Linked DNA regions of Nothobranchius furzeri. The protein of the gene in region 1 purifies or fractionates together with the protein of each later gene. This does not show direct contact. Links are inferred from orthologs where the notes say so. Each region holds a gene or a part of one and is shown in the gene's direction. Other genes may lie near its edges. The genes, in order: afg2b and timm13.

What was found.
Region 2: the proteins of afg2b (region 1) and timm13 purify together in Homo sapiens (co-immunoprecipitation; 3 studies listed by BioGRID and IntAct, with this or other methods). This does not show direct contact. The link is inferred for Nothobranchius furzeri from reciprocal best matches to the Homo sapiens genes AFG2B and TIMM13.

Annotation. Positions count from the first base shown.
Region 1 is NC_091749.1:43,208,406-43,212,330, forward strand, and holds the start of afg2b (ATPase family gene 2 protein homolog B), read left to right. Parts: upstream 1-1,093; 5' UTR 1,094-1,229; coding exon 1,230-1,823; intron 1,824-1,886; coding exon 1,887-2,072; intron 2,073-2,419; coding exon 2,420-2,704; intron 2,705-2,783; coding exon 2,784-2,969; intron 2,970-3,064; coding exon 3,065-3,223; intron 3,224-3,297; coding exon 3,298-3,507; intron 3,508-3,580; coding exon 3,581-3,805; intron 3,806-3,882; coding exon 3,883-3,925. UniProt on the Homo sapiens protein: ATP-dependent chaperone part of the 55LCC heterohexameric ATPase complex which is chromatin-associated and promotes replisome proteostasis to maintain replication fork progression and genome stability.
Region 2 is NC_091748.1:58,303,237-58,306,850, forward strand, and holds timm13 (mitochondrial import inner membrane translocase subunit Tim13), read left to right. Parts: upstream 1-1,438; 5' UTR 1,439-1,577; coding exon 1,578-1,697; intron 1,698-1,950; coding exon 1,951-2,019; intron 2,020-2,656; coding exon 2,657-2,755; 3' UTR 2,756-3,003; downstream 3,004-3,614. UniProt on the Homo sapiens protein: Mitochondrial intermembrane chaperone that participates in the import and insertion of some multi-pass transmembrane proteins into the mitochondrial inner membrane.

The DNA of each region.
Region 1 (3,925 bases):
TTTTTGTGTTTTACTCACACCCAATAGTTTTATTCTGAGTGCTGAAAAAGGTTCGTTACAAATGTTCGTCGTTTTCACTGCAATAAATATGTCATTTTATTCAACTCGGATTTTTATTTTATTTTGTTTACTTTCAGGTTCAGTGAGCTAATACAGTATGACAAAATGAAGAAATGACTAAATGCACATAGACGAGGTTTTGCTGAAAAGAATGATACCAAACAAGGCATTAACAGTAAAATATGGTTTAATTTAAAGGTGAACACTAAAACTTGTCAAAACGGCTACCAGTAGTCACACCACCGACAGAGGGTTAAACACCAGAAACGGACTTGATTATTCTGCATTATCCTGTAACTTTGGGAGTTGTGAAGCATTTACCTAATGAGTTTATTGAAACGCATATGCTGTAGTTTTTTGTCATCTTGACCACGTTTGAACTTGTCCAGCTCTAAAACTCCAACATTTAAACACTTTAAACTGGACTAGATTATAATGTTAGGGCAAATGAATTTGTAACAACAGTTCTACACCAACTGCAGACAAATAACAGAATTAAAAAGAAGCCCGTGTGGGGCCAAATTGATTAAATCATAACCAAGAAGCTTTAAAACAATAACATATTTAAGTCAAGGTCAAAAGCAAACAAACTTTTATTTCGGGATCATATATGTAAGTCTTACTTGAGAGCAGTCGGTGCCTCCCCAGTCATGAACCTCACCGCACGTCACTGAATTCAAATGATTTTCTATTTCCTGTCTCTTTATTCAGCTCTAATTTTAAAACCAAAGTTTCTTCAGTAGAATCTCATTCACCACTGGTGATAATTTGGCACGCACGTGTAAAATGAGTGCTCCTCAGTCTTTTCATTCAAATAAAAGAGTTGTAATCTATTAACTTGTTTCACAAAATATAGTGTCCATAAATTCCCAAATTCACCTGACACGGTCAAAAACTGTCTCAGTCCATCACGCCTGAGGCACCTGAGGACTGGACAATAGAAATGTTTCTAAACCGATATAAACACTTGTCTACGTCAGTGGGCGTGACTTTCTATTTCACTCTACTGCGCAGCCGCAGACTCAAACCCACGTTTCCACTGCGCAGACTCAGTTCCTCAGTTTTTCATGCAGACTGAGCAGGAATGACGGCGGCTGTAAACAGGATAATCTACTGAAAACCACAAAGTCTTGTTCTAATCTTTACCCGCTTCATGTTGTTGGCGGACGATGCAGCGTGTGAAGCTTCTGCTGCCGGACCCCGCTGACCGGGGCTCTCAGAGGTGCCGGCTGGGTCCGGGCTTGATGTCGGCGCTAAGCCTGAGACTAGGCTCTCCTCTGCTGGTGTCTGTTCCCGGGGGGAGCTGCCTCTGTACCGCCTGGCCCCGTTCGGACCTGGCGGAGGGGTTCCTGCAGATGGACCTGAAGTGTATCGCTCCCACTTTGATCTCTCAGCCTCCCGTGCACCTGAGTCTGGAGCCACGCCATCTCACACCTGTGTCCTGCCCTAAACTGAGGGGAGTTAAGGTAACGGTGGTGGTGCAGAGCGCTGGCTTTAGGAAGCACACACCCGCTTGGGTTGTTCATGAGCTCGTGAAGGACATGCTGAAGGGTGTTTATGTTCACAAGCAGTATGTGGTAAACATGGAGGACTATGATACAGAGATCAGGTTTGTTGTTATAGACGGAATCAGACCGGACTCTGACAGTGCAGGTATGGTTACCTCAAAAACAGCTGTGGAGATATCCGGGATCCAGACTCTCAGGCATTACAAGAGCCAGCTACTGGACCAGCACACGCCCCCACTGGGAGGACTGGACGAGGTCAGCTGTTTGAGCATAACTTACTATTATAGTGATAAAAGCTGAAACCGTTTTCCTTTGTAGGTGAGTGCTTCTCTGAGAGAGATGCTGCAGCTGCCCCTGATGTACCCAAACACCCTCAGCTCCCTGGGGGTGTCCTGCCCCAGGGGCGTTCTGCTGATCGGGCCTCCTGGAGTCGGCAAAACCCTGTTGGTCCACAAGGTGGTTGGGGAGGTGGGAGCCAGCCTGGTGGTGGTCCGAGGGCCAGAGGTACTACTGTGTGTTTGCACTGATATGGATGAGTAGCAAAACAATAAAACACTGTCAGGAAGTCATATTTTACACACAGGAAATATATAAGTTTACTGAAATGGTCAAGAATTTAAATAAAGCTACATGACAGAAGAAAAGTCAAAGAGGCAAATACATTTTTTTCAGATGCCATTCTGTTGCGCAAACTATTAATGTTGACGGCTTATACAGACTTTTATACTATACTTTTATACTAGAGACAAAACAAACAGCAACGTTTAACCCAGCAGAAAGGTTATTTAGTGCAGATTGAAATGGCTGTTCTCATTTACATCTGATTTATTGGTGGTGAACTGTTCTTCCAGGTGGTAGGATCTCGACCGGGCGAGAGCGAGGAGACGCTGCGGGCTGTGTTTGAGCGTGCTCGATCAGCAGCAGAAGAGGGTCCCTGTGTGCTCTTCTTAGATGAGCTGGACTCGTTGTTTCCCAGGAGAACCGGCTCGTCTGCACCAGAGAACCGGCTGGTGGCTCAGCTGCTTACACTGATGGATGGGATGAATCGGTCTGACCGCTTCCTCATCGTAGGAGCCACTAATCGCCCTGACAGTTTGGACCCAGCGCTGCGGAGGCCTGGGAGATTTGACCGAGAGGTACTTTTTAAATGTGTTTATCAGAGTGAATTAGAAACAGAATAAAGCTTTGAGCTGTGAGTGTTTGTCTCTCCTCCAGGTCATTATTGGTGCTCCAACCGTGCAGCAGAGAAAGGCCATCCTGACCGTCCTGTGTGAGAGGATGCCTGTGTGTCCCAGGCTCAACATGACAGAACTTGCACAAATCACCACAGGGTACGTTGGGGCCGACCTGAGTGCTCTGTGCAGGGAGGCGGCCATGCACGCTTTAAGGCAAAAAGTGAAGGTAAACTGGCACTGAAGCAGAACAATGACATTTGAACTGTTTCTGTGAATTCTCTACATGCATCTTAAGCTTCGTTGTTGTTGTTATGTCTGCAGGGTTCAGGGAAGCAGGAGGTGGAGATGAAACACTTCCTGGAGGCTCTGAAGTCCGTGCATCCCTCCAGCTTGAGGAGCAGCCTTGGCCGGACGGAGCTGTCCTCCGTGTTGTGGGAGCACATAGGAGGCCTGGATCAGGTCAAAGTCAAACTAAGACAGGTAGCTAAATGGGGGGGGGGGGGGTGACTGAAACTATAACACTCAAAACCTCCTCTCCATATTGCCTTTTAAAGAGCATTGAGTGGCCCATGAGGTACCCCGAGGCGTTTGTGCGTCTAGGACTGAGTCGGCCCCATGGCGTTCTGCTTTATGGACCGCCAGGATGTGCAAAGACGACGCTGGTGAAAGCTGCCGCCTCCTTCTCCCACTGTGCCTTCCTGTCTGTCAGCGGGGCTGACCTGTACTCCTCTTATGTCGGAGACTCAGAAAAAGCTTTAGCTCTGGTACATAAACTTTTAAAATCAGCGACCTGCAGACATCAGACCTGCTTTTATCAATCTGCTTGTGCTCGTGTAGCTGTTTCGCCAGGCCCGCTCCTGTGCTCCCTGCATCCTGTTCCTGGATGAGATAGACTCTCTGATTGGTTCGCGGTCGAACAATCAAACCCCCAACAGCGTGCAGACCCGCCTGCTGTCTGTTCTCCTGAATGAGATGGACGGGATCGGCCTGAGGGTGCTGGAAAGGAGAGGAACAGGAAAAATCCTCCAGACAGAGGGAGTGCAGGAGACTCACACAGAGGAGGTCGTATGATGCTGATGACATCACACCGCTTCAGCACAGTGGGACTTGTGTAATACGTCGTTTTTGTTCTTTCACAGCTGGACAGCCAGGAGGTGTGCAACAAAGATGTGATGGTGGTAG
Region 2 (3,614 bases), on another chromosome or scaffold:
TTTGCACAATGGGAATGTGTGAATGGGAACTGTTAAGCTACTTCTCAAAAAAAGTAGAATTAATTTTACATGTCAAAACTTGAAAACATGAAGCTAGTAAAGAAAGACAAATTTGGGTGAGTTCTGCATTAGGTGCACAAGTGAGTGAGTTTGAATTAATTTATAGGCCTATTGAAAGAAAATATGTATTTATTTATGACTCACCAGAAAACAGACTCGTCTGGGACTTTGTTTAAAATCAAAGAGAATTTTTCTGAGGAAGATAGTGGTGGCTAGCCTTTTTGTCTGTTGCATTTTATTGATCATATCATGATAAAACTCTCACCTAAAACAATTTACAATGCTCCTCATATTAAGTGGTGATCATACATGAATTCTAAATAATCTAAACAAAAGTATTATCTTTTAGCGCCTCCTTGTGTTTGATTATAACAAAATTTTTGAAGCCAAAGGACTCCTGCATGATTTGCTGCAACAGTGTGGTGAGCAATAGGTTGACTTTTTAATTTTGCAATACTGCCAATAACGGGCTAAAACCTTCTCCAGTGTGCTACTTTTCTCTTAAATAAAACAATACATATAAAGTTAATTAAAATACACTTTAATTTGATTCTATAAGACATGATCATTTGAGATTATAGAATTATTCATTGTTGTTGTGATTCAACGCTAAAATTTACTTCAGATGTAAACTTTTTTTCTTGCTGACTGCTAAAATTTCATTGTGTTAATGTATAGATTACAGATATAAGATAGACCTAGTTACATCCTCAGGCCTGTTTATAAAATGAAAAGAGTAAAATATCTTGAGCTGAATAAATTCTTTATTACTAATAAATATAATTAAGAAAATCAATATTTAAATTTTAAAAAGTAGTAAAAACTCTCTAACAAATATTTTTAACAATCTCAATAAGTCAAATGAGTCAAAGGTAGCCTGCTTCCACTTCTGGCATAGAAAGTGCGGCCATGGACATAAATTCTTTAAGTAATTACGGTGGGACACAAAACAAAACAAAACAAACAAACAAACAAAACAAACAAAATAAAACAGAACATTGTGCAAAAGTCCATTTCTTTCGGCAATTCAACTTAGAGTGGGAGAGCATAAAGGCTCAGGAACTCCTTGGATCCATCGGCTGATTAGAGAGCGACACTTCAAGTCTAGAATGTTGAACCTTTTTACAATATTCAATTTTCTGATGTTTTGAATCTGGGCTTTTCATCAGCTGTAAGAAATAATCATCGTAATTTTAACAAATAAAGACTTGAAATATTTGATTAATCTATATTATTTCCACCTTTTAAGTAGAATTGTTGAATAAATTAACATTTGCACCGTATTCTCATTTTTCCATTTTCACGTGAATTTTGAGAGGAAAGTGCGGCGACCAACCATGCTTTGAAAAACTCGTTTTCCCAGGATACAGCTGCTTCGACGGAAGTGACGTTATTTCACATCCGCCTCAGTCAAGGACATTGAAAACTGCCGTGAAATAAAGTTAGCATTAGCTGTTTGCACGTGTAGCTGATATATTCCTTACAAAGTCACCGTTTTAAGTAGAACACCGATAAAAATGGACGGGTTTGGTTCAGACTTCTCAGCAGGAGGTTCCGGCGGGAAGATGGACACGAGTACCATCATGGAGCAGGTTAAGGTCCAAATAGCGGTGGCTAACGCGCAAGAGCTTCTGCAGGTAAATCACTGGACCCCAACGCCAAGCTAATACTCGCAGAGCAGTTAGTTTATTTCAAACTGATTCATTGATGTTGTCAGCAAGTTGTTTGGATAGATTACACTTTATGTTACAAGCGGTACATGGAAATCCGTTTCAAACACTTAAAATGACCCCAGTATGGGTGTTTATTCTAATTCACCACTGTGTTTTATTGTTAAACTGGTGAAACATTCTGAGCTGCTCACGTTACTACAATATTTTTATGTTTTAGAGAATGACCGATAAATGCTTCAAGAAGTGTATAGGTAAACCAGGGAGCTCCTTGGACAACTCTGAACAGGTATGGTTTAAACTCCTTTATTTTCCCATTCAGACTAACAATGTCACTAAAAGCGGATTAATTCTCTTTAAAGAGCAAGTCACCCCCTACAAGAAACTTACTTCACTCCCTCTTCATGTTTGAATAATGCAACAAATGCTGTTGCCTAGCAGACCGAGAGGGCGGAGCCGCTAACAAATACACACACACACAGGCTCACAACGGCATTGTGACATCATAAGAACCAGTTTACATCATAACATACCTCTTAGCCAATAGCGATGGCAGATTTAAATCCTAATGCAGTGCAGAGTTTATACCTGACAACGGCACAACACTGACAGTTTTAGGCAGAAAATTGCTATTTTAACTAAAATGCACTAAAGTACAAAACTATTAACTGCACGTGTCTGCAGCACGACTAGACACACATCTATATAGTTTATCAGAAAAAAAGTTTATTTGGGGGTGACTTGCTCTTTAAGTAGCACATTGCATCACAACTTTATTGTGGCTAATCCATCTATTTATTTTTGAGCCATAATGAAACCCTAACAGCATCTTTTTGAACAATGAGTCAGATGAGTTTCCCACAATATCCTGATTTTTGTTTCATGTTTTTCTAGAAACCTTAACCTTTTTGCCTTTTCTTCCACAGAAATGTATTGCCATGTGTATGGACCGATATATGGATGCCTGGAACACAGTGTCTCGGACATACAACTCCAGGTTGCAGAGGGAAAGAGCTCGCATGTGATGATTATTTTCCCTTTCATCAAGCTGCTGCTGATTATAAAGACCAGCACGTTGCAATCCTGGAGGCCCAGAACTGTGGACACAGGTGTATGATGGCAGCTGCACGACATCTTTGTGTCATAAACCATCTCACATGGACAGGAAGGCAGACGGGGCCTGTGGACTTCAAGCTGTAACAATGTCTGTGGACATTTTAAAATTGTGCTCTAAGAATCAGATCATCAATAAAGTATAATTATTTGTATCTTCTTTGGACCTTTTCAGCGCACTCCTTCAACGTGGTGATGTGGACCAGTGCAAACATAGCTGCTAAGACATTTTAGATTTTATGTTAGCAGGTCATTGATGTGCTGATGTAGTCAGATAAGCCTTGTTCTACGGGTTGACTTTGACACCCCAGTCCTTGAAATTGACAGGATTATTTAGAAAAAATCCTGGTTGTGTAAATTAGGATCCTGAGAAAGTCGTCACTACACTCCTCTTCATAAATTAATTTGTGTAGCCATAATGGAGTTCTTACATCGCTTATATCCTCTAGAATATGAACAAAAACCACGTAGAGCTATTGGTAGGGTTAAACTTTATTTCCTTTGGAAGGGATTTTCCAAACTCAGGAGGACTTGAGAAGCACATTTTTTGTTTTCACAGCTGTGATTCTGACATTTACAACCCTCTGAGCAGCCTATATCAAAGTACAGCTGGAGAACAAAACTGTTTTGTCTGACACGTTTCCCGTGTCACTCTATCTGCTGCCATCCACAGAAGTGGACTTGTTTCAGCAGAGGTCTGTCTCACTCTGCAGCACCTTCCTCAGCTGAAATGGTGCAGGTGTCCGATGTATGGCCGCAGCTACCACTCAC